Callithrix jacchus: one gene and its partners. The protein of the gene in region 1 purifies or fractionates together with the protein of each later gene. This does not show direct contact. Links are inferred from orthologs where the notes say so. Each region holds a gene or a part of one and is shown in the gene's direction. Other genes may lie near its edges.

Region 1 (3,500 bases):
GCCCTTGTGTGATAGCACAAAATTTTTGTGAAAAGTTTTGTCAATGTAGTTCAGAGTGTAAGTATTTGTTGCTTTGATGCAATTGCATGAGAACTAAATAGGCCTTTGGTCAGCAATTTAAAAAATCAAAAAGTGAGAACACAGGAGCACTCCCTTGTTTACTTTAGGAAATTCATCGATTCTACAGGTATTGATTGAGCCCCATACCTGGCCCCTGCCAGTGACCAGTCAGTTGCCTGGGTGTTGTGTGTCTATGTGTGTGAGGCAGGCAAAGTTGTATTAAAGGAATCCGAATTTTATTTTTTTCTTCTTTGATCATTTAAATTAAGTCATATTAAAGTCGGCACAGATTGTAAGAGAAATCTAGAAGGAGCTACCCACATAATTTTTGGGCACCAGAAGTTGTCAGAGTTTAGGAAGGTTTTAGTCTTCAGAATAAAGGAATGTAGCACAAATGTAGGGGATTATAATAATTGTTTAATGAAACTGCACATTAAGCTTGAATACTAAGGGAGTGTTTAGAACCAGGAGCTATTAGAATGGTCAAGGACCATGGATATTGTTTCATCCAAACCCTTTATTCACACTTACTTTAAATATATACATTATTTAACAAATGAAAAATGGAAGAACAACTCAATGGTGGTCTTTTTCAGTACAAACAGCTTTAACTTCGCTGTTAATACTTCCATTTCCTTGTCTATACAGTAGAGTAATAAGGCGGTTGTGAGGGTTGAGTCAGTCAGATGCTCAGTACAGCCCTTGCCACATATCTTTCTGCAAGTTCTTGCATATGGTGATGATTGTGATAGTCATGGTGTTGATGATGAGTGAAGAACCTCCACACCTCTCTCTGAAGGTCAAAACCGCTTTCCGGGATGCCGCTGCAAAGCACAGTGCAACACCAAGCAGTGCCCATGCTATCTGGCTGTCCGAGAGTGCGACCCTGACCTCTGTCTTACTTGTGGAGCTGCTGACCATTGGGACAGTAAAAATGTGTCTTGTAAGAACTGCAGTATTCAGCGGGGCTCCAAAAAGGTGAGCAACAAGTTGCTTCTGGAAGGTTGTTTTTAGTGATGCTAATCTCAGGATTGTCTTAGATGATTTCACTGGGGCAAAAAGTAAAAGTGATCCTTGAAAGGTACAACTGATAAGAGAGAAAGCGTTGATAATTTTCTCTGGGTAATGCACTCTGGGGCAGTCTCTTCATTCTAGAGAACACCGTACTGTGTTGGTGGGAGAAACCAGCAAATTCTGAGAAGTAGCCATTCATGGTATCAGATTTGAAATAGGAGCTGTTTAATAGAGATTTGAATTTCTCTTTATCTAGTATCCTTAATGCAAATAAATGGTGATTTCTATCAAAACACAGAGTCATTCTCATCAGATAGTATTTATAGGTTCCTTACTATGTAGGGTAAAAGATGAAATTTCCCACGGCAGGTTTTTATTTACTTAGTTCCTGTTTAATAACCTTGGAAAAAACCCAGCCAGGAATTATATATTTGAATTCTGGGAATTGTATGTAGGTAATTTTAACTGTATCAGTCAGGAAGTAATTATTGAGCAAAAGAAACTGCAACAACATGTATTTGGGAAATTTGTCTTTTTTTTTTTTTTTTAGGGTAGATGATAGGTTTTTCTCTTCAGTCAGTTCTTCTTATAATAATAACTGACATTTATTAAGCATGTAAAAATAGCAGGCACTGTTCTAAGTGCTTTAGTGGATTTGTTCATTGATCTTGATAACTCTGTGAGTGAGGAATAAATGTTAACCCCATTTTACCGGTACAGCAAACCCAAAGTCACAAGATTTGTAAAGGAGCAGGAGATCAAATCCCCCAGGCACTCACTCCCATTAACCTGCTCTTATGCTGCGTGTGTGTGTGTGTGTGTGTGTGTGTGTGTGTGTGTGTGTTGGGGGGTGTGGAGTAGACATATCTTTGATTGTTGGACCATTTATTTATGATTGAGATCACACTTTTTACCAACAAGTCCCCTTCAACCAGCAGTTCTGCTCCAGGCAAAACACTGAACTTCTCTTTGTTTTGTTCCCTTGTGTCTTTAAACCAAAGTCTGTGTTTATGGCAGATAGCTGTACAGGGTGGCAGGTTTTTTGTTTTTGTTTTTAGCTGTGATTTTTTTCTCTTAGGCATTTAAATCATTTTACTCTAGGCAGTTATATATCCATTTAGGTCATTGGGTCATGGTGATGCTGGTTCAGTTTCTGATGGCAATACCCATTCAGACCTAAAAATCTCCATTTCTCCCCCAAACAACTTGCCATTGCACTGCTTCCTCAGTTTGTTCAGAAAGAGGGTAATACTATTGATACTGACATGTCCTCTTTGTAAGACATTTTTTAGCTCTTAAAAATGTTAAACTATGTAGATACTTTTTTACCAATTAGGTTTCATTTGCATAGCAATATTTAGCTATAATTTAGTTTCTGCACAGAAGAGTATTTGGGAAGTTCACCTCACAGGTGAGTGGTAGGATGTTCCAGAATAGGAATAGATTGGAAGCTTGAGTGATCAGGAAGCCTTTGTAAAGGTCATAAGAAAATTTTGAATGAAAGCATAATAATGAGCCATGTTGAAAAATTGGCATGTGTTTGGGAACACATCCCTAACTCTATAATTTACTGCAGTGATCATCTTGGCCTTTCTGCTGAAAATAGACTACTGGACTGACAAGATCATGATGCCACCTCTTGGTAGATTTTCCTGAGGAAGTAGGGTGGAAGAACAAATTTAAAAGAAAGCTGCTGTGGGCTTCAGAGGGAACAAATGCCAGTGAAGAATCGGGGTGTCCTTGGGGGCATCTAGAACTGGTAATAGATGTCACTTGACGGAAGTAGAGGGAAAGTTATGAAGAGGAAGGTGATTTGGAGGTGCCCTTATATTAAATTCAGGATGAAAGTAAATTACTTAAGAAAATCAAGGGCTGAGGAGACCAGGCAGCCAAAGTGCAGCAGTAATGCAAACAACCAACAGCACCAAAAGTTTTTTCTGTAAGACAGTGATACTTCTCTGCTCTGTAAGAAAAACATAATTTTCATACTTAGCCAGCCATTCTCAGCAGCTTTCACACTGACTGAAGGTATGTGTCCATTACTGCCTTAGAACAGGTCTGAAGATTGACAGCAATAGCCTTGTTTTTATTCTGTAGTCTAATTTGTCCCTAGTCCATCTTTACCCTCTTCTTTGATTATATGATTGTGTTTTCTTCTCTAGCATTTATTGCTTGCACCATCTGATGTGGCAGGCTGGGGAATTTTTATCAAAGATCCTGTGCAGAAAAATGAATTCATCTCAGAATACTGTGGAGAGGTAAGCACTGATCACCTATATTCAGGTGGCATTGTATATAACAACTTTTCTTTATTTTAGATTGATTTCATTTGGTAGGTCTGTGGGTTTGATTGGAAATGAATTGCCATAAACTGCCTTTTCAGCCTGGACTTCTGCAGGTTGTGGATTTGCATGCTTAGTAACAAC
Region 2 (4,072 bases), on another chromosome or scaffold:
TATGACACTGGCTTGCGTTTGAGGTGGATATCAGAAAAGAAAGCAGAAAAACCCAACTTGCCTTTTTCACCGGGAATATGGGGGCTTCTTTGGCCAAATCGTGTGCGTGCAGGATCCATGTGCTGGGCAGCGGGTCTCAGGGCCACAGCCTGTGGGCTGCATCCTGCTCTTCTACAGAGGCTTCTCCAGAAAAAGAACAGATGGAGAGGTGAAGATAAGTAAAAGCGGTATTTTAAAACTTTTAGAGTGCTGGGTTCTAAATTTATATTCTGAAAGACAATCTCTTTTTGAAAATGTTTTATGCAAGTCTAATATACATACAGTATCAACCTCGTTTTAGAAGCAATTACGACAGAACGTTGGAACAGAATTCACGTAATCGACCTCCTTCCAGAAGCTGCTACTAAATCAACAAGATTCAAATCCCTCTCCTTAAGAGGAGCAGCGCGAGCCACTGCAAAGACGCACGTTTCAGTCGGGCCATTCCGCAGTGGGAACTAAACCGAACGCAGGCTTTCCCACGCTTCAACAGACCTGTGATCTCAAGACAGTCTCTTCCGTGACGTGGAGGCACTTCGGACTACCTGTACCTTCAGACATTATGGTGTGTTTGGCCATGTCATTTGTCACAGGTGTAAAAATCACAACAATCGAGAGCCCGAAGCTGCTGGGATGAGCACCTGCGGCAGAATCGCGCTCCCGCGCTCCTTCCTGCTCTTTCCAAGAAGACAGGCGTGGCCGTCCAGCATCCCGCTCCCCCGGACCCCGCAGTCCTTGTCGGCAGGAGGCCCGGAGTGGTGCGAGCCGAAGGTGGCGTTAGAAAGGCGGCGTCCCGACCAGCAGAGTGACTCGGCCTCCGGCTCCCCCTCAAAGCGCCATCTTGTCGCCGCTTCCCTCAGGAGAAGACGAGCTCTTCCCTGGGACCTGCTTCGCGGCTTCCCTTTGCCCGAGTAACACCGGGCGGGGGCGGCGGCCTCTCTGGCCCTGCCGGCGACAGAGCGCAGGGAGGGGAGCGGCGGCAGACTGGCCTGAGGCCGGCGGGCGGGCGGCCTGTAGCCTCCAGGCGCGGCCTGCTGCGGCCCAGGCGCCTCCTCGATCCCGCCCCTGCCCGGCTCCGGACCTCCGCCTCTGCCGCCACCGCCTCCGGGAGCCCGGAGCCGCGTCCCGCCGGCGCCGCCTCTTCCGCCTGCTTGCCGGCGGGCCTGCGCGGGTCTGGGCGGCGTCCGCGCCGGGCGGGTCCGCTACGTCAGCGCCGCCCGCCCGCCCCGCCCCGGCCCTCAGCCTCGGCCTCGGCCTCGGCCTCGCAGCGGCGGCAGCGGCGGCGGCGGCAGATCCCTCCCCAGACATGGCCCTGGGAGGCGGCAGCACATGGCGGCCGCGGCGGCCATGAGCGCGCCCCCGACCCGCCCCAGTCCCCCCTAGAGGCCGCCGCCCCCGCCCGCCCGCCCGCCCGCGCGCCACGGCCCCACCGCCCCCGGCCCCGCCGCCCCCCGCCCGCACCCGCGCCCGCGCCCCCGCCGCCGCCATGGGCGTGCAGGGCTTCCAGGACTACATCGAGAAGCACTGCCCGAGCGCTGTGGTGCCGGTGGAGCTGCAGAAGCTGGCCCGGGGCAGCCTGGTGGGCGGCGGGCGGCAGCGGCCCCCGCAGACCCCGCTGCGCCTGCTGGTGGACGCCGACAACTGCCTGCACCGCCTCTACGGCGGCTTCTACACCGACTGGGTCAGCGGCGGCCAGTGGAACCACATGCTCGGCTACCTGGCGGCGCTGGCCAAGGCCTGCTTCGGCGGCAACATCGAGCTCTTCGTCTTCTTCAACGGCGCGCTCGAGAAGGCCCGGCTGCACGAGTGGGTCAAGCGGCAGGGCAACGAGCGCCAAACGGCGCAGCAGATCGTCAGCCATGTCCAGAACAAGGGCACCCCGCCGCCCAAGGTCTGGTTCCTGCCGCCCGTCTGCATGGCCCACTGCATCCGCCTGGCGCTCATCCGCTTCCACGTCAAGGTGAGGCTGGGGATCCGGGCGGGCCGGGGACCGGGGGCCGCGCCGCACCCTTATCCCCTTTCCCAGGGCGCAGAATGTCGCCCGGCCGTGGCGGCGCGGGGGGCGGCGAGCTCCCCCAGCCCTGGCTCTGGATAGCCGGGCCGGGCCGGGCCGCGCCGCAAGATGGATGGCCGCGGGTGCAGGCCGCGCGCTGCCCAAGCCCGCCTCCAGCTGTCCCTGTTCGGGGTCCACGGCAGCGTGGGGACACTTGAGGGCTGGAAGAGAGCCGCCCGGGACCAGAATTCGGAGGCAGCAGTGTCATCTTCCCCAATATCCGTAGTTTTTCCCGTCCTTTTTGAGGCGGGCAGGCTATCACTCACCTTTAACTTTGACAAAATACTCCCTTTTCTAATTTAGCCTGTTCTTTCCCAGCAACAGGTTCATCTTGGAAGCAGGCAGGATACAGAGTAATAGAGGGGGTTTCGCCGGGGCCCTTGGGGGCTGCAAGTATCAGTGCTGCCGCCGCCGCCCTTGCCAATGTTGTTAGCCCGGTGACAGCGAGACGTGTCTAAGGGCTAGTGCCCTGCCCGTATTCCTCTTAGAACGAGGTGTTTAGAGATCTTTCTATGGCTTTTTGTGTTAAGATTTCAAAGAACCGTGCACTTTGACAGGATGGGATTTTGTCAGTTCTGTGACTTCAAGTCCGTGTGAAAGAGGTCTTTAAGGCAGTTCAGTTTTGTAGATCCCATGCGAAAGGAGTCGCTCAAAGTCAGGGGCCGAGCCACGCGGGCGTGAACTCGCAGGATTTATTTTTCGGGTGCACAGTAAGTATTCAGTGACCTTCAGCGGCGCCCTGACGGGTGGGTAACCAGAGCTCTACATCACCGGCCTCCTCTGGCCCTTTGGCAGAGGGCTCCGCAGCTGGCACTGGGCCAAAGGAGAACTTCAGGACCCAGCAGTGACTGTGAAGATAAGTACATACATGATCCTGGACTTCACGTTGTGATTGCTTGCTTTTTTCATTGATTTTCTTGAAAACAAAATTTGGGGAGGCTTTTTGCTGCCTTAGCTCTTGCCATTCTATCTTCCATCTTGTTATTCTTTGACATTTCCTTGAAACTGCTGGAGCTGAAAATTTGTGAAATTCCGTCTTCGCGGTTGCCCCCACTGCCCCGCGACGAGATGGTGGTAGTTAAGCCTAAAATGATAGCGGAAGTCCCACCCAAGATCTGGTTGCAATTGGTGAGATGGTGTTTAAGCCGTGGGTGGAGGCGGCCGGCAGAGTCCCGATTGGCCCCTGCGCCTGGCAGACACACAGCTGCCAGTCCACAGGGAAGTTCGTGTGAGAGGAAGTGCCTGCCTCTTAAATCTGGGGCGCTCAGGGAAGTAAGGTGCTGCCATTTGTCGGAAGTGATCCACCTCCCGAATAGAGCGTAAAAGTGTTCATAGTTTAGTCTTGCTCAGAAATGGAAAAGACTGCTTAAAAGACAGGATGAGCTGTACTTACTTGCCTTTGATAACCGCACATCTATCTACTTAACTAGTCAAGTAACTTTCAAGGGAACACTGTTGACTATTACTTAGGATTAGAATTAGTATGTATGCATATGGTCACTGTATCGTGAAAGAACTGTTTTAATTCTATGATTTCTTTATCTCTGCACCCCTTTGAATGCCTTACACACCTAGTAGGTGCTCAGAATTCTGACCAATGTGTAACTGTTTGGAAACTAGATTTAAGCTACATTTAAGATCATCTTTTCCACTTAGGTTTCTGGACACTGGATAACTTTGTCTATATTTTGCTTTTGCTAAGCTTTTATTTATTGATCTAACATCATGTTATAGTGTGCATTGCACAAAATGAATATTGTAATGACTCAATTACCTGGTGGTTTCTTAGCTGGTCACCTTACCTTTTTGAAAAGTGCCTAAGAGATTTAGCTACTAGAAATTTCTCAGTAACCAAACAAGATGTCAGGAAGTTTGGGTACAATGATGTGGGGTTGGCGGGGGCGGGGGGTTTGGGGGCCTTTGCTTTCCCCACTGAAGAATCCTTTACGCTCTCTCACTCACGGGCTGTCCTCTTTTTAG
Region 3 (3,959 bases), on another chromosome or scaffold:
GCCCACCACACATACATTCAGTCAGGGTCCCTTAGGAGCCGTGAGAGCCTGTAGACAGGATGGGGATCTTCAAAGGGCTCAGGAGACACACCGGCCTCATCCCAACTCTTTGCCGGCCTACGGGGATCTTTTTCAAGGAAACTCTAACCAGGTACCTCCTCAGCTGAAAATCCTTCGGTGGCTCCCCAGTGCCCTTGAGGCAAAGTCCAGATTCCTCACATCTGACCCCTCCGGGCCTGCCCACCCCACCCCATCCCTGGGAGCTGCTCTCCAGGAGTTACTCGGAAGCAGTTGCCAGTTCTTCCCTCGGGCCTTTCCCCTTGATAATTCTTCACTTCCTCTGGGCAGTCACCCCGACCCCCTGTCAGGTGACCCGCCTCTTAACGGTCGCCGCGTCCCGTCTCTCCCCCACCAAAGCACACTTCCCTTTGCATTGTAATTGTCTGTTTACTTCAGCTGTCTCCCCCATTGGACGGGTAGCTAAACTTCGAGAGAGGCTCTGAGTGTCCTGTCCAGGGCTGTGCCCCGGCCCCAGGTACAGTGCCCCACACGTGCTGGACGCTCCGTAAACACTGGCTAAGGGAAGGAACGGGCGCACTTCGCTAGGCTGCTTTGCAAAAAAGCCATGGCATTTCATGCTGCCAAGAGCCACGTGTAGTGTCCGTTTCCTCGCATCCTCCCCAGCAATATGCATTTCCCTCCTCAATGCCACGCTCTCCAGGCGCCAGCCGGGCGGAGGAAATTTCCGCCCCCTCCCAAGCCCGAGGCGGGGGCGGGCTTCGGAAGGTCAGGTGTCCCGGCCCGCGCGCAGCGCCAGGGGGCGTCAGAAGCGCTCCGACCGTGGGGCGCTGAGCGGGTGGGTGCGAGGGGTCCCGCCTCGCAGGGGCCTAAATGCGCCCGATGTCCCGCCCCGGACAGCCCCAGCACTGGGAACGACCAGCGCTGCGCTCCCGAACCCCGCCTTGCAGGAGCCTCCGCCCGGGCTCCCAGCGCCACGCGGCGCGAGCCGGGTCCGCCCCCGGCGCACCTGCTCGAGGCGTGGCCTTCGGCGGAGACGTGCCTCCGATTGGTGCTGAGGTGACAAAGGGGCGAGGCAGATAAGACCCCTCCCCTGCCGCCCCCTGGAGTATTTAAGGGAGTTGGCGGCGCGGGTGCACTCATTGCGCCGCGGCACGGCCTAAGCGGTGGTTCTCCTGCGCTACTTCTGAGCGACTCGGCGACCCCGGTGCGTTGGCCACCATGCCGCGCTCTTTTCTTGTCAGGAAGCCCTCCGACCCCAATCGGAAGCCTAACTACAGCGAGCTGCAGGACTCTAATCCAGGTGCGTTGGAGGGGTCCCGGGCTCCAGGAGATTTGGGGGAGACAGGCGAAGGCTGCGTGGGGGGCACCTGAAGGAGGCGGCCTGCTTGGGCCAGGATCGATTCGCAGGATGTTTTGTGGAGCATTGAGGGCTCGGGCTCGGGAGACCGGGCAGGTAGGTCTCCAGTCCCAGGGATCTATCTGAGTGGTTTGGGGGGTGCCGTGTAGCGGGCAGGGGTCTTGCGCTTGGGGGGCCTTTGTAGCCTGCGAGAGGCGCAGGAGCTCCCGAGGGGAAGGAGGCCTGTGCCAGGAGGGCCCGCCGGACGCTGCTGGGGAGAGTCCGGAGTCCAGAGTGTTGAGGAGAGGGGTGGAGAGACCAGATGTGTGTGAGGAGGGGGACTGGGGTGGAGTGGTGGCTCGGGGGCTGGGGTAATGGGCTTCTGGCTTCAGGCTGGGGACTTGGGACTCAGGAGACCGAGATCTGGAAATGACCCTCTTCAACTGGGGGTCCTACCTGTGAGAGACTCAGGTTGGGTGACCTGGGCGAGGAGGGCAGGAATTTGGTCTGCCCTATGGATAATTTTATTGATCTAATTATGTGTTGAGAGTCAGCCTCACCCAGCCCCTGGCCAGCGGTGGGCTCTAGTTTGTTGATTGAGTGAATGATTTAATTAACGCCTGACTCTGCTCTTTCTCCCTCAGAGTTTACTTTCCAGCAGCCCTATGACCAGGCCCACCTGCTGGCAGCCATCCCACCTCCGGAGATCCTCAACCCCACGGCCTCGCTGCCAACGCTCATCTGGGACTCTGTCCTGGCCCCCCAAGCCCAGCCAACTGCCTGGGCCTCCCTTCGGGCCCAGGAGAGCCCCAGGGCGGCAGAGCTGACCTCCCTGTCAGATGAGGACAGCGGGAAAGGCTCCCAGCCCCCCAGCCCACCCTCACCGGCTTCTTCGTCCTTCTCTTCCACTTCGGCCTCTTCCTTGGAGGCCGAGGCCTATGCTGTCTTCCCAGGCTTGGTCCAAGTGCCCAAGCAGCTGGCCCAGCTCTCTGAGGCCAAGGATCTCCAGTCTCGAAAGGCCTTCAACTGCAAATACTGCAACAAGGAATACCTCAGCCTGGGTGCCCTGAAGATGCACATCCGAAGCCACACGCTGCCCTGCGTCTGTGGCACCTGTGGGAAGGCCTTCTCTAGGCCCTGGCTGCTGCAAGGCCACGTCCGGACCCACACTGGTAAGTGCCCCTCCTGGCCCGCCCCACTGCTTTCTCTGCCAGCTTTTGTGAATCTGGGCTTACTTTTCTCATTCTCAAAGTTGTAGACACGGAGGCCCCGAGTCTCCTAACTTCTAACTCAAGTTCAGGGGCCCGGCTCTCTGGAAACGTTTGGCAGAAATGTTCCTTCATCAGCTAAGCAGATGGGCAAAGCAGACACCTTTCCAATCCCCTGCAGCCAGCTTCTCAGCCAAATGGGTAGGAGCTGGATATGGGAAAGGTGCCACCAGCACCTTGTGGTGGTGGCCAGGTGCGAAGGGGTCCGCCTGGCCCCACCCTCTCCTGATCCACCCCTCCCTAGCCAGACAGGATGTTGTCAGACCCCCCCCCCACCTGGCTCTGAATCCTGCTTTGAGAACTTTCTCAAAGCTTGGTCTGATGTTTCACTTCTGTGAGCCTCATTTTCCCTATCTTTCAGATGGGCATGAGAACAGCCTATGGGGTTTCTATGCAGGCTAAATGCAGGAATGCGTATGGGAAGCACCTGGCAAAGTGCCTGGTACCTGCTAAATGCTCACAAAAATGCTTCCTTGCCGTTTGCTCGGCTTCCCTGCTGTGTGACTTTGGGCAAGCAACTTAACCTCTCTGAGCCTCAGGGGAGGATTATGATAGGTAAGTTTTAGAGAGTGACTGTGAAGGTTGATAATCACTTTATGCTAATCACTTTGCAGTAATTTATCATACCTGGTGGTTCTCTGGTCTGCTTCCCCACCCCCACTCAGTCCTATCTGGCAGACCAGGAAAGGCATCTTTGGGGCAGACAGCGCAATCATGTCTTGGTGTCTTGAAAATTTACTAAATGCGTAGGAAACTTTCTGGACGTGGAGAAAAGGTAGAACTTTTTAGAACTTGAATGGTGGTGACCACCATGCCCAGAGCTGCTCTGGAGAGTGACGGTTGAGAGAGGAGATTCCAGGGGTTCACCCCGGGCAGGTTCTGCCATTTCCTGACCCAGCACCTGACCTCGGAGTGGTGAGGGTCAGTGCGGTGTCTGGAAGGCCTGGCCTTTTGCAGGCTTTATTGGCATCTTACTCAACTAAGGCTACCCATTTCTCTTCCTTTGTGCACCCTTAGCCCTGATTTTAACATGTAAAGGTCCAACTGCCTGGCCTTCTGGGTGCCTGCCTAGCTCACAGGGCTCTATTTTGGGAGCGTTGAACCCCTCAGGGTGCTGCTCTGCTGTCCCCCCTCCCTTGCCCCCAATCCGGCATTATTTTAATGTAAAGGCACGGCTGGGACACAGAAATGTATCACTGCTGTCCTCATTGACTCCCATTGTGTGCCTTAATGGTGGGCCCAGTGGGTGGGGGCTGGGAGGAGCAGAGCAGGTGCATGGGGCAGCGGTGCCCAGCACCTGTTCCAGTCGCAGCTGCTGGCCCAGTGCATGGCAG
Region 4 (4,300 bases), on another chromosome or scaffold:
CCATTACAGCTTTCATGGAAGGATCTGAAACTTATTCAGGCTGAAGTGTAAATAGTCCAAAGTAGGCCCTACAAGTTACTTTTCCCTGGGGCAGTTTAACTTGTTCCTTGGAACAGGTCTTTCAGCTATTGAGGCCGTAGGCTCAAGCTAAAGAGACAGCTGAAAGTCGGAGAACTGGAGTCTAGTTCTAGCTTTGTCACTAATTTGGTGTGTGGCCTTGGGCAAGTCCCTTTTCTCTGGGTTTCATTTTTCCAATCTGTGAAATGAAGACAAATACCCTTGACTAACAGAGCTGGTAAGAGTATCAATAGAGAGACTGTGAAAGCGCTGGATAAGTTACTTATTGTAATAGATCTGTGAGGACTAAAAAGAATATAACTAACTAGAGCTTTGAGAAGCGGACCATGGAGAAGGTGTGGGGATAAAAGGGAATCTGGGAACAGTGTGGGAGGATCCTGCCAATTGAGAAGAGGTTTTACTGTTTGGGGGAGGAAGGAAAGAGGCACTTCACGCCCCAGGAAGTTTCCTACATCTCCAGAGTTAGGGTAGGGACTGCGGATTTACTCTATCTAATGCTAATCGCATGTTTTGGAAGAGGGTTCAAATTCTTCAGAGGAAAACATGTTTTGGAAGAGGGTTCAAATTCTTCAGAGGAAAACAAATCCCATTTCTGAGGGCGTTTCCGATCTCCCAGGTTGGGCCTGGGACTTGAAGCATCTGATTTGGGGAGCCTTATGTTTGTGTTGGGGGCGGAGGTTCGTTGTTTTGTTTTGTTTTGTTTGAGATGGGGGTATTGCTCTGTAGCCCAGGCTGGAGTGTAGTGGTGCAATCACGGCTCACTGGCAGCCTCAATTTCTGTGCTCAAGCGATCCTCCTACCTCAGCCTCTCTAGTAGCTGGGGCCACAGGAGCACGCCACCAAGCCCAGCTAATATTTTGTATTTTTGGTAGAGACGGGGTTTCGCCATGTTTTTAAGGCTGGTCTCGAACTTCTGGCCTTAAGCGATCCGCCAGTTTTGGTCTCCCAAACTGTTGGGATTACAGGCGTGAGCCACCGCGCCCGGCCCTGGGGGAAGTTCTTAAACACTCCCAAATCTGTATGGGTTTGTATCTCAATGCTTTTCCCTCCCTCTGCCCCCACAGTTTGTCCCATGTGGGTGTTGTGTCTTGCCCACTGTGAAAGGGAATGAGGGGAGGTGGGGGAAATCTCAGATCCCCCAGCAGGGAAGTTCTTAGTCGTTCTGTGGGTGCCCCTCCCTTCTCCATAGATCTCTTGTCCCCTAGAATGAGTTTCCTGTATTCCCGCCTGACTCACCCGCAGTTGCTTCCTCTCCAGTCTCGGAGTCCCTCAGGGTTACTCAGGGCAACTCCATAGCAACTACTTTTGTCGCCACTATCCCGCAGGCGCCGTAAGAACTGACGCTATGCTTACCGGGACCTGTAGTTTGTCAGAGGCGGAGCTTCAAGGCCGCGGGTGGCGCTGGGATTTGTAGTTTTCTTTGCTTTCAAATCCAGGCCGGGGTCCGGAAGCGGTGATACCCCTTCTCTTTCCCAGTGGCCCTCAAACTTCCTTTCCCCGGGTCTTCAAGCGTGCCCCGCGTAAGACAACTGCCGACAGAGGCCAATCAGAGGGCAGCACGAGGGGGCGGAGCCATAGTTTAAACTAATTGTGCGCTCACAGCGCTGGCCAGAGCCCGGGATAAGGTACGATTAGTGGGAATCGCAAGGCGGAGCGGGAGCGTGCAGCCAGGTAACCGGCGCGGGCCCGCGTCTGGCATGCGGCCTGCGCACCGGGGTGCTGGAGAGGCCGGTGTGAGCGGAAGGCCTCCTCCGTAACCGAGTCCGAAAGGGCACAATTTGGGGGTAAGGTTTGTTAGGAGAGCCGCCTGTCTGAGGGGGAGGAGCCGGGGGGGGTGCCATAAAGGGGAGGGTCTGTTTGGGGGCGTGTCTGTGAAATTAAGTCTGAGGGCGACGGGGGTCGGGGTTTGGGGGTAGGGTAGTGCCTGAAAGGCTTGTAAGCGAGGGGTCGGGTCCTGGAAAGTCTTCAGCGTTTATCGTTATCAATAGCAGTAGTTATGGTAGTGCAGTAGTCAGCATTTTTCTGAGCTACACTGTCCACAATGACCTCCCAATGGTTTTTCAATCCTCTAAGCACCTGTTATACTTTAAAGATGGGGAGGCCGAGGTTTTTAATGTTTAGCTTGGCCAGGGTTACGTAGCCAATGCGAGGTTGGCTCTACTTGGGGTTTTGCCAGTTGGGCATAAATGAAGACGGGGAAGGTGCTTTGTGGGGGTGCGCATTGTCTTGGGCTGGTCGGTGTATTTTGAGCCTCACTTTTCATATATGTAAACTTACCTACTTCCTGGGGTAGTTATCCTGGTCAAAAGAGGTAGGTCTTTTTATTTTTTATTTTATGGGCTTGTTTTGTTTTGGTATTTTGTTTTATTCACAGATAACATGTTTCATACACTCACCTCGGAGGGTACAAATTTATGATTATAAGTGATGTGACTGTGTGAAGATTGTGGGTTGATGCTCCCGCCTCTGGGTACTCTCTTTTGCTTACCTCTGAGTTAGCACTTGTCATCTGGTATTTTAAGAGTCTCTGCGTGTTTGTCTGCCCTTCTAGATAATGAGAGACTTTTTCGTCACTGTATCCTAATGGCTAAGGCAGGATTTGCGACATGTAATGGGCATTAATGTTTGCTTTGGAATAATGTGTTTTCCTGGACTGAAAGGGCACAGGAACTTTGCTTTCCCATTTTCTTTTTTTTTTTTTGAGACGGAGTTTCGCTAGGCTGGAGTGCAATGGCGCAATCTCGGCTCACTGCAACCTCCGCCTCCTGGGTTCAGGCAATTCTCCTGCCTCAGCCTCCGGAGTAGCTGGGATTACAGGCACGCGCCACCACGCCCAGCTAATTTTTGTATTTTTAGTAGAGACAATGTTTCACCATGTTGACCAGGATGGTCTCGATCTCTTGACCTCGTGATCCACCCGCCTCGGCCTCCCAAAGTGCTGGGATTACAGGCGTGAGCCACGGCGCCCGGCCCCCATTTTCATTTAGTGGCATTTGAACCTAAGTATTAAGCTGTCCTCTTTCCTGGAATGTCACTCCCTCTTGAAAACGTGATGATATTTTCTTGCCTTAATACATACCTCCCTCTCTCTAGTATCTGTTCGCTGGTTCTATGTTTCCAAACTTCTGGGTTGTCTGGTCGTTAAAGCTTTAATAGTAAGGGAGTTGGGCCTGTCTACTTTGTGGAGATCTTTACTGCTGTGAATATATGGGAACCGGGGGTGAGCATGAAAATCATGTAAAGGAGCTTTCAGTCAGCACGGATGGGTGTATGTTTCCTCTCTCCCTCTGCTTCTGTGTGGTATTTTCTCTTTTAGAAGAAGCACACACGTTGTGAAAGCTTCCGAAGTACTCTTTTCTTGGCCTAAGTTCAAGCAGTGATGACTAATTGTAATGCCTAATCTTAGTTCAAAGCAAAAAACTGTGCACCCCAAAAGCTTAAAGATCTTACCTGAAAGCTCATTAGGGAACATAGAATTCTTTTTTACATGTGGAATATGGAAGCGGGAAGAATGCCTTGAAATAAGACTTGAATTCTCGAACTGTTAGGATGAGGGCAAAGCCCTCCTTAGGTGGCTAAACAGAGCTGATCAGGGGCTGTTTGGACAGCTGTGTCTAATTGATAAAATTATGATCAGAAGATATAGGTTGGTGCAAAAGTAATTGCTGTTATTGCCATTGAAAGGGTGTGGTCATTTAATTCAGCCTCTAACCCACTAAACGTATGAAAAGGTGTTGCCCAGACTCAAAATGAGGACTTTCTAGAATGAGACCATTCCCAAAGTCAATCCATCTCGATGTTGAGCAATTCTATAATTACTACTTGTGCTCGCCTCGGCAGCACATATACTAAAATTGGAATGATACGGAGAAGTTAGCATGGCGCCTGCGAAAGGATAACACGCAAATTCGTGAAGCATTCCATATTTTTTTATTAAAAAAATAATTATTATTATTACTTTGTATCTGGGCATGGTGGCTGGCTATGTCATCCCATCTACTCTGGAGGCTGAGGCAGGAGGAGCAGGCGGAAGGATTGCTTGAGGCCAGGAGTTCCTGGCTAGCTTGGGCAATATAGTGAGACTCCATCTCAATTAAAATGTGTGTTGTTTTACATTGTTAGTGATTATTTTGTTTCACCCATATATGTCTACTGTTTGTCCAGTTTTCCTTGCATTTTATTCCTTCCTTTCTTATTATAGATACATACATCCTTCACATGT
Region 5 (4,300 bases), on another chromosome or scaffold:
CTTTCAGCTTTCTTTCTTTTTTTTTTTTTTTTTTGAGACAGAGTGTCACTCTGTCACCAGGCTGGAATGTAGTGAGTGCGGTGATCTCAGCTCACTGCAACCGCTGCCTCCCGGGTTAAAGCGATTCTGCCTCAGCCTCCTAAGTAGCTGGGAGTATAGGGTGTGCCACCATGCCCAGCTAATTTTTGTGTTTTTAGTAGAGACAGCATTTCATCATGTTGGTCAGGATACTCCGGATCTCTTGACCTCGTGATCCACCCGCCTCGGCCTCCAAAAGTGCTAGGATCCCAGGTGTGAGCCACCTCGCCCAGCCCTGGTTTTTTAGCTTTCAATGATGATCAGTTGGTAATTGATGATCTGGTGGAGTGGTTCTCAATAGGAGAGTTGGGGTCAATTTTACACTCCCTTATACCTGGCTAATATTCCCCCAACCCAATGGTAAAGCTATTGCACAGTACTTGGCAATGTCTGGAGACAATTTTGGTTGTCACAGCCTGGGGGGAGGGTGCTACTGGCATCTAGTGGGTAGAGGCCAGGGATGCCGGTAGACTTCCTATAATGCACAGAACAGCGTCCTATAACAACGAATTACCCGGCTCAAAATGTCATTAGTTTCCAGGCTGAGAAACCTGCCCTCCTATCGCGGGATAATCCCATTTTCTCCTGTCTAAAGAGACTCCTACTTAGTCATCCTGGGTGACTGAATCACGGAGGTAGGTTTTGGAGTCAGAAAGGCTGGGTTCTGTCACTTTTTTACAGAGCCTCTGGTGCAAAGAAGGCATTCAAAAAATCCTCAACAATTGAAAAATTGAATTTAATTACCTTGTGTAACTTGGAGTAATTCACAGAAGTCCGAACTTCTTTTTCCTAACCTGTAAAATGGAAGTAAAAACCCTTGACCGAGAGCTGTTTTGAGGAATAACTGAAATAACAGTTAAAGCTGTCGCACAGTACTTGGCTCACAGCAGCCCCTCGAAAAAACATTAGTTTTCTTTCCCTTTCTTGTCAGTTTCTCCCTCTCCAAACCCGCGTGTTGCTTTTCTTTTCAATTTTTAATTATTTGTCTGTAGCCCTCCTTTGCGGTGACAAACTCGCTTTCTAACCCAGGTTCAGCCCGTTTATTGGCGGAGTGACCTTGTGCAAGTCACTTTTCCCCTGTAGGCCTCGGTTTATTCTCCGTAAAATCAGAAAGTTGGCCTCCGATCTCCAAGCACGTTTCCCACGACGAAGTGGGCCTAAGTTTACCAAGCTGCTTTCCTCCCCCGGGAGTGATGGTACGGTCCCCGGGCGGCTCCCCACCCATCTGTCGCAGACCTTGGTACAGGCCCAGGGGGCCTTTAGCCGCTTCTCCAGGCTGCCCTTGCCCCCTGCCGAGTTCCGGGCCCGTGTCTGCGCAAGCTGATTGGCTGGAGCGGTGCCCGGGCTGCGCGTCTATAGGTGAGCCCAGGAGGGGACGGGCGGGGCGGGCCGGAGACCCGCCCCCTCCCCCCTGGGTCGGACGCTGAGCGGAGCCGCGGGCGGGAGGGCTGACGGACCGACTGACGGGAGGGACGGGAGGCGAGCAAGATGGCGCAGACGCAGGGCACCCGGAGGAAAGTCTGTTACTACTACGACGGTGAGCACCGTCCTCGCGGCGGGGGCGGGGCCGGGCCGGGCCGGACCCGGGACCTGGAGGCTGAGGCTGGAGCGCCGAGGGGAGGCTGCGGGAGGCTGAGGCGCTGGGGAGAGGCTCGGAGAGGAGGCTGCGAGGGGGAAGTCGAGGCTGAGGGAGGAGGCTGCGAGAAAAGAAGATCGAGGCTGAGACCAAGAGGGGATCGCGTGGGGGAAGCCTGAGATAATCTTGGTGGAGAGATTCTGAGGAAGTCCGATAGGGAGAGTTTGAGTGGGACTCCTAGAGGGGAGGCTGGATCTGATGGAGACGGCTGCGAGGATAAATTTTCCAGCCGAGAACCCAAAGCTCTTCCCTGCCCCGTCCCTTCCTCATCTTTTCTGAGGGAAGAGTCGTGCACGACTGGTCGCCCGCCTCCCCTCCCCCAGCCTCTGAGCTGGGCCTGCGGTTGCTGCTGTGACGTTGGGGCGCCTGGGGTTGCAAGGAGAAGGATGCAACCTGTTAGAACACACTTCTCACTTGATCTCTCAAACTGGTTACTGTGTTCGAGAAAGTGTTGAGGGGCTGGGGCCGTGGGGATGATCGGGTCACCCTTCCCAACGACCGAAGTTCTCTCCTTGTCAGAGCTCAGAGTGTTAGGGGAACACAGATTAGAGGCACTGAACTCCACCTGTGGAGTCAGCGAAGGAGGGGACATTTCAGGACCATCTCAGTTAGGTCCTGAAAAACAGGAGTTCTTAGCCAGGCACGGGAAAGGCAAACATAACAGCAAGTTCAGAGACAAGAAAGAGGACAACACCTTTGAAAAACAATCATTTGACCGGGCACGGTGGCTCACGCCTGTAATCCCAGCACTTTGGGAGGCCAAGGCGAGTGGATCACTTGAGGTCAAGAATTTGAGACCAGCCTGGCCAACATGACAAAACCCTGCCTCTGCAAAAAATATAAAAAGTAGCCAGGCGTGGTGGCACGTGCCTATAATCCCAACTGCTTGGGAGGCTGAGGCAAGAGAATTGCTTGAACTCAGGAGGTGGAGGTTGCAGTGAGATGAGATCAGGCCACTGGACTTCAGCCTGGGCGACAGAGGGAGGCTGTCTCAAAAAAAAAAAAAAAAAAAAAAAAGAGGGAGACTCTTGTCTCAAAGAAAGAAAGAGGAAGAAAGACAGGCTTTGTAACAGTATGGCTGAGGCATAGATTTGGGGGCCTAGTGTAGAAGGTGGGGAGCAGGGACGAGGGAAGGGTTGCAAATAATGAGGCTGCAGAAATAAATAGGGACCAGCCAGGCATGGTGGTGTGTGCCTGTAATCCCAGCTACTCTGGAGCCTGAGGCAGGAGAATCCCTTAGAACCTGGGAGGCAGAGGTTGCAGTGAGCTGAGATCACGCCATTGCACTTCAGCCTAGGTGACAAGAGTGAAACTGTCGCAAAAAAAAAAAAAAAAAAGAGTTGTAAATAGGGACCAGACCATGAAGGGCTGGGCATGCTGTCCCAAGGAAGTTGGACTTTATTGAGGGCACTTGTGAATGATTGAAGTTTTATGCAGGTTAGTGACATCATCAGGTTCATACCTTAGAAATTAAAGTCATGGGGGCCGGGTGCTCTGGCTCACTCCTTTAATCCCAGTACTTTGGGAGGCCGAGGCAGGCAGATCACTTGAGGCCAGGAGTTCAAGACCAGCCTGACCAACATAGTGAGACCCCGTCTCCACTAAAAATACAAAAATTAGGCTTGGTGAGGTGGCTCACACCTGTAATCCCAGCACTTTGGGAGGCTGAGGCAGGTGGATCATGGGTGACTAACATGTCGAGACCCCATCTCTACTAAAAATACAAAAATTAGCTGGGCATGGTGGCACGTGCCTGTAATCTCAGCTACTCAGGAGGCTGAGGCAGGAGAATCGCTTGAACCTGGGAGGCAAAGGTTGTAGTGAGCCAATATCACGCCACTGCACTCCAGCCTGGGCGACAGAGCGAGACTCTGTCTCAAAAAAACAAAAACAAACAAAAAAAAGAAGTTCATGACTGTAGGGGTAAGGGAGAAGACATGGATCCCAAGTTCCTGGTGTGGGCAATTTTTTTTTTTTTTTTCCGAGATGGAATCTAGCTTCGTCACCCAGGTGAGAGTACAGTAGCATGATCTTGGCTCACTGCAACTGCAACCTCCACCTCTCGGATTCAAGGGATTCTCCTGCTTCAGCCTCCTGAGTTGCTGGAATTACAGGTGTGTACCACCATGCCTGGCTAATTTTTATATTTTTATTATAGATGGGGTTTCACCATATTGGCCAGGCTGGTCTTAAACTCCTGACCTCCAGTGGTCTGCCTGCCTCAGCCTCCCAAAGTGCTAGGATTACAGGCATGAGCCACAGTGCCCAGCATCTGGTGTTGGCAATTTGATAGTGAGTGTTTAGAGGTTTGGAGAATGCCATGTCAGTTGATAACTTTTTTTTTCTTTTAATTTCTAGAGACAGGGTCTCAATATATTACCCAGGCTGGTCTTGAACTCCTGGGCCTGGCCTCAAGCAATCCTGCCACCTCGGCCTCCCAAAGTGCTGGGATTACAGGCCTAAGCCATTGTTTTTTGTTTTTTTTAGAAATAGCTATTGATAACTGTTAAGATGTTTAGGGGACATCCAAATAGAGGCATCCAGTAGGCAGTTTAGAAGATAGAAATTTTGGTTGGGCGCGGTGGC
Region 6 (4,141 bases), on another chromosome or scaffold:
AGGCGAGATCGTGCCTCTGCACTCCAGCCTGGCGACAGAGCAAGCCCCCCCCCCACCGCCCCGTCTTAAATAAATAAATAAATAAATGGGCCAGGCGCAGTGGCTCACGCCTGTAATCCCAGCAGTTTGGGAGGCCGAGGCGGGTGGATCACAAGGTCAAGAGATCGAGACCATCCTGGTCAACATGGTGAAACCCCGTCTCTACTAAAAATACAAAAAATTAGCTGGGCATGGTGGCGCGTGCCTGTAATACCAGCTACTCAGGAGGCTGATGCAGGAGAATTGCCTGAACCCAGGAGGCGGAGATTGCGGTGAGCCGACATCGCACCATTGCACTCCAGCCTGGGTAACAAGGGCAAAACTGCGTCTCAAATAAATAAATAAATAAATAAATAAATAAACAAACGGCTACATAGATAGCTCATGCTAGAAAGGAAGGACTCCAAATTTTAACCAAGCGCAGATGTGCATGGAGGCCAAGTCCTTTTCCTTCCATACTCTCCTCATACTGACCCAACACACCCATTCTGTACGTGAGAAAACTGAGCCCCAGAGAAGGGAATTCACACACGCTTGAAGCCAAGCTGGGGCCAGAATGCAAACCAGCTGATCTCCAAACCCTCGTGTCAAAGGTCGTCTTCCCATGAGGACATATGCCTTAAAGGATCTGACAATCTATACCACCCTACAAGTGACGGAGAGGGGCAAAAACAACCGACTAAGGAGAGAAGCAAGGAGCAGAAAAAAGCTAAAGAAGAACTGTGAGAATGGTGTGCTTGTGAGGAGGGTGGGAAGGGAGCCGCCTCCTTTTGCCTCTCTTCCTACCCATTGACGAAACAGAACGGCTATCCAGCGTATTTAAGGGAGCTGAGTCTTAGCCAGCTTCATGTGTGTTTTAACCCTTAGCTAAATCTAGACAAGGCTAAGGCAGGCCAGGTGTACACTTGAGGCAGAAGTAAAAATTCCCAGTGCGGACCAAAACTGGAGTTGTTCGGGCGGTAATGATTTGAGGTCGGTTTGAAAGAGAAGCTGAGAAAGCGGCCGAGGGGCGAATTTGGCTGCACAACACGCCTGTGCCACAGAAGGGTACGGCCGCGGGCCGCCGGGGCACAGTTTCCTACCAGCTCAGGCGGAGTAGTAGACGCAGCTGCCTCCGCCCGCCACGTGACCCGTAGTGTTGTGGTCTGGCCCGCGTGGGTGGCGGGAGCGCCTAGAGGGCGGGGGTGGCGATGGGGCGGGTCACGTGACGGGGTTTAAATCTCCCGCAGCCGGAGCCGCGGGGGCGCCAGTGCCGCGCGTCAAGCGGGAGCAGAGGAGGCGACGGAGGAGGGCCAGAGAGGCAGTTGGAAGATGGCGGACGAGGCGGCCCTGGTCCTTCAGCCCGGCGGCTCCCCCTCGGCGGCGGCGGCCGAGAGGGAGGCCGCGTCCCCGCCCGCCGGGGAGCCGCTCCGCAAGAGGCCGCGGAGAGATGGTCCTGGCCCCGAGCGGAGCCCGAACGAGCTCGGTGGGACGGCCCCGGAGCGTGAGGTGCCGGCGGCGGCCGAGAGCTGCCCGGCGGCTGCGGCGGCGCTGTGGCGGGAGGCGGAGGCAGGGGCAGGGGGAGCGGCGGCGGCGGGCGGGGAACAAGAGGCCCAGGCGACGGCCGTGGCTGGGGAAGGAGACAATGGGCCGGGCCTGCAGGGCCTATCTCAGGAGCCACCGCCGGCTGACGACTTCTACGACGAAGACGACGACGACGACGACGACGAGGGCGACGAGGAGGAAGAGGCGGCGGCGGCGGCGGCGATTGGGTACCGAGGTGCGCAGGGTGCGGGCTGCCGGAACTGCGCATCCCCTCCTCCCTCTCCCGGGGATCTTCCTGGCGTGGGGTTGAGGGGGTCTCTGGGACGCGCCGGAGACTCGGGGCAGGCTCCGTGGCGTTCTCTTCCCCACCACGGCCCTCCGCTTAATTGCGCTCCTCCGGGGCTGCCGTTCCTGCTGCGGGAGCTGCGGGTGGATTCGCTTTTTCTCTGTCTGTGGCCGGCCTGGGAGGCCTTGCGCTTTGCGCAGCAGCCAGGTCGGGAGGCTCTCGCAGTCGCTTTAAAATAAGTTTTCTCTTTTCCCTCTTACTCTTTTAGCATATTGCTTTTGTTAGAGCTTTTTTTTTTCCCCCTTTTTTTTGGGGGGGGGTTGCTTTTTTCTCCCCGCCCTCCCCCCAGGACACTTAAGTCTGCAACTTTTTGCTGTCCCCGTTCGTCGGCATTTTCAATTACTTTTTGCAATCTGACACTTGTGCAATTTGCTTTTTTTTAGGGTCTATATTTTTATGCCTGAAATTACAATTTTTAAAAGAGCAAAGCTGTTTCTGTAGTCACAGCCTGCAAAATATAAAGAACATGGCTGTTCCTGAAGACATTACCATTCTGTAATGCAGTTAGTAGTGGGCATGGGAGAGTCATACTACTTTTAGAGCAGTTCGTATTACTTTTATTTTAATCTTGCTCTTGTGTACGGTGACGGTGTTGAGGCGAAGCATACTCTTTTGTATGTATGTACTGAGACACATTTAACATTGCTAGTATAATGAAGCAGATATGTTGCATTTGTCGTGTTTTTGAAGGTTTTATATTTTTCATCTGAGGAATTTCTATTTTTGAGAGGTGTTCATCTTTATCAATATTTGGGTCAGGCCGGGCGCAGTGTCTCTTTCTTGTAATCCCAGCCCTTTGGGAGGCCAAAGCGGGAGGATCTCTTGAGCCTGGAAGTTTTAGACCAGCCTGGGCAACATAGTGAGACCACCTTTCTACTAAAAATTTTTTAAAAAGATTAGCCGTGCATGGTGGTGCACAGTTGTAGTCCGAGCTACTGAGGCGGGAGGATCTCTTGAGCCCAGGAGTTCGAGGTTGCAGTGAACTATGATCGCGCCACTGCACTCCACGGTGGACAACACAGTGAGACCCTGTCTCAAAAAAAGTAATGTGTGCCTTTTTTTATTATTATTAATTTTTTTTAAAATATAGAGATGGGGTTTCATCACGTTGGTCAGTGTAGTCTCGATCTCCCGACCTCAGGTGATCCGCCCGCTTCGGCCTCCCAAAGTGCTGGGATTACAGGCGTGAGCCGCTGTGCCCGGTCAAGAGACCCTGATTTCAAGCAACACAGTTGAATGCTAATTTAATAATTGTGTTGTTAATACTGTTTATTATTTAATAGAGGAAACAATTCAGAGATACCTATGTTTAGTATTATATGAATTTAAAGTGCACTTTGCCAGTTTTATTTGAATGACATTTTTGTGTAAATTTCCATTTATTACAAGTTTCACGAACTCTATTGTTTGTGGTTGATACTTTCTATATGTTACTATCTTTTCTGTTTAAGTAGACTTAATTTATTTTTAGATTTTGGCCGAAACTTTTAGAGTCAGAGCAGAATTCCTAAATATGAAGAAACTGTACCTATGAGAAGTGCAAGCCGACCCCATAGCATTTACACATACAATATAAATGTTAAATGCTTAATGAAAATGATTACACTATAACCCTTTATGGGTCTTCATACATATTAGGTGCACATTGTTTTGGTAGTCTTGGCTGACTTTTGGTTTGTTTTGCAGATAACCTTCTGTTCGGTGATGAAATTATCACTAATGGTTTTCATTCCTGTGAAAGTGATGAGGAGGATAGAGCCTCACATGCAAGCTCTAGTGACTGGACTCCAAGGCCACGGATAGGTATGGCTCAGAGCTGTTAACTTAAGAGAGTAAATGTATGCTTTTTGTTGTTGTCCTTGTTGGTTTTTTTGAGACAGTCTCACTCTGTCGCCCAGGCTGGATGGAGTGCAGTGGTGCAATCTGCAACCTCCACTTCCTGGGTTCAAGCAATTCTCCCGCCTCAGCCTTCTGAGTAGCTGGGCTTACAGGCACCCACCCCCATGCCTGGCTAATTTTTGAGTTTTTTTTTTTTTTTTTAGTGGAGACAGGGTTTCACCATGTTGGTCAGGCTGGTCTCAAACTCCTGAATTTGTGATCCGCCCGCCTTGGCCTCCCAAAGTGCTGGGATTACAGGCATGAGCCCTTGTGCCCGGCCTTTTTTTTTTCTTCATCCAGTTAGACTGTCTTTCTCACTTACTTCATATTTCTTGTTTTTTTCACTTTTATACT

The links. Proteins that work in one complex are often made in the same cells at the same time.
Region 2: the proteins of EZH2 (region 1) and FAM120A purify together in Homo sapiens (affinity purification with mass spectrometry, with the first as the bait; 3 studies listed by BioGRID). This does not show direct contact. The link is inferred for Callithrix jacchus from reciprocal best matches to the Homo sapiens genes EZH2 and FAM120A.
Region 3: the proteins of EZH2 (region 1) and SNAI1 purify together in Homo sapiens (affinity purification with western blotting; 3 studies listed by BioGRID, with this or other methods). This does not show direct contact. The link is inferred for Callithrix jacchus from reciprocal best matches to the Homo sapiens genes EZH2 and SNAI1.
Region 4: the proteins of EZH2 (region 1) and NUMA1 purify together in Homo sapiens (affinity purification with mass spectrometry; 3 studies listed by BioGRID and IntAct, with this or other methods). This does not show direct contact. The link is inferred for Callithrix jacchus from reciprocal best matches to the Homo sapiens genes EZH2 and NUMA1.
Region 5: the proteins of EZH2 (region 1) and HDAC1 purify together in Homo sapiens (affinity purification with western blotting; 7 studies listed by BioGRID and IntAct, with this or other methods). This does not show direct contact. The link is inferred for Callithrix jacchus from reciprocal best matches to the Homo sapiens genes EZH2 and HDAC1.
Region 6: the proteins of EZH2 (region 1) and SIRT1 purify together in Homo sapiens (affinity purification with western blotting; 3 studies listed by BioGRID and IntAct, with this or other methods). This does not show direct contact. The link is inferred for Callithrix jacchus from reciprocal best matches to the Homo sapiens genes EZH2 and SIRT1.

What each region holds. Positions count from the first base shown.
Region 1 is NC_133512.1:98,906,161-98,909,660, forward strand, and holds part of EZH2 (histone-lysine N-methyltransferase EZH2), read left to right. Parts: coding exon 1-57; intron 58-859; coding exon 860-1,038; intron 1,039-3,236; coding exon 3,237-3,332; intron 3,333-3,500. UniProt on the Homo sapiens protein: Polycomb group (PcG) protein. Catalytic subunit of the PRC2/EED-EZH2 complex, which methylates 'Lys-9' (H3K9me) and 'Lys-27' (H3K27me) of histone H3, leading to transcriptional repression of the affected target gene.
Region 2 is NC_133502.1:71,100,896-71,104,967, forward strand, and holds the start of FAM120A (constitutive coactivator of PPAR-gamma-like protein 1), read left to right. Parts: upstream 1-1,272; 5' UTR 1,273-1,525; coding exon 1,526-1,999; intron 2,000-4,072. UniProt on the Homo sapiens protein: Component of the oxidative stress-induced survival signaling. May regulate the activation of SRC family protein kinases. May act as a scaffolding protein enabling SRC family protein kinases to phosphorylate and activate PI3-kinase.
Region 3 is NC_133506.1:45,525,407-45,529,365, forward strand, and holds the start of SNAI1 (zinc finger protein SNAI1), read left to right. Parts: upstream 1-1,159; 5' UTR 1,160-1,239; coding exon 1,240-1,321; intron 1,322-2,001; coding exon 2,002-2,529; intron 2,530-2,609; exon of another isoform or gene 2,610-3,180; intron 3,181-3,959. UniProt on the Homo sapiens protein: Involved in induction of the epithelial to mesenchymal transition (EMT), formation and maintenance of embryonic mesoderm, growth arrest, survival and cell migration.
Region 4 is NC_133511.1:68,865,551-68,869,850, forward strand, and holds the start of NUMA1 (nuclear mitotic apparatus protein 1), read left to right. Parts: upstream 1-1,500; 5' UTR 1,501-1,703; exon of another isoform or gene 1,704-1,891; intron 1,892-2,252; exon of another isoform or gene 2,253-4,300. UniProt on the Homo sapiens protein: Microtubule (MT)-binding protein that plays a role in the formation and maintenance of the spindle poles and the alignement and the segregation of chromosomes during mitotic cell division.
Region 5 is NC_133508.1:68,903,847-68,908,146, forward strand, and holds the start of HDAC1 (histone deacetylase 1), read left to right. Parts: upstream 1-1,500; 5' UTR 1,501-1,566; coding exon 1,567-1,615; intron 1,616-4,300. UniProt on the Homo sapiens protein: Histone deacetylase that catalyzes the deacetylation of lysine residues on the N-terminal part of the core histones (H2A, H2B, H3 and H4).
Region 6 is NC_133513.1:62,528,741-62,532,881, reverse strand, and holds the start of SIRT1 (NAD-dependent protein deacetylase sirtuin-1), read left to right. Parts: upstream 1-1,341; 5' UTR 1,342-1,350; coding exon 1,351-1,798; intron 1,799-1,841; exon of another isoform or gene 1,842-2,056; intron 2,057-3,595; coding exon 3,596-3,712; intron 3,713-4,141. UniProt on the Homo sapiens protein: NAD-dependent protein deacetylase that links transcriptional regulation directly to intracellular energetics and participates in the coordination of several separated cellular functions such as cell cycle, response to DNA damage, metabolism, apoptosis and autophagy.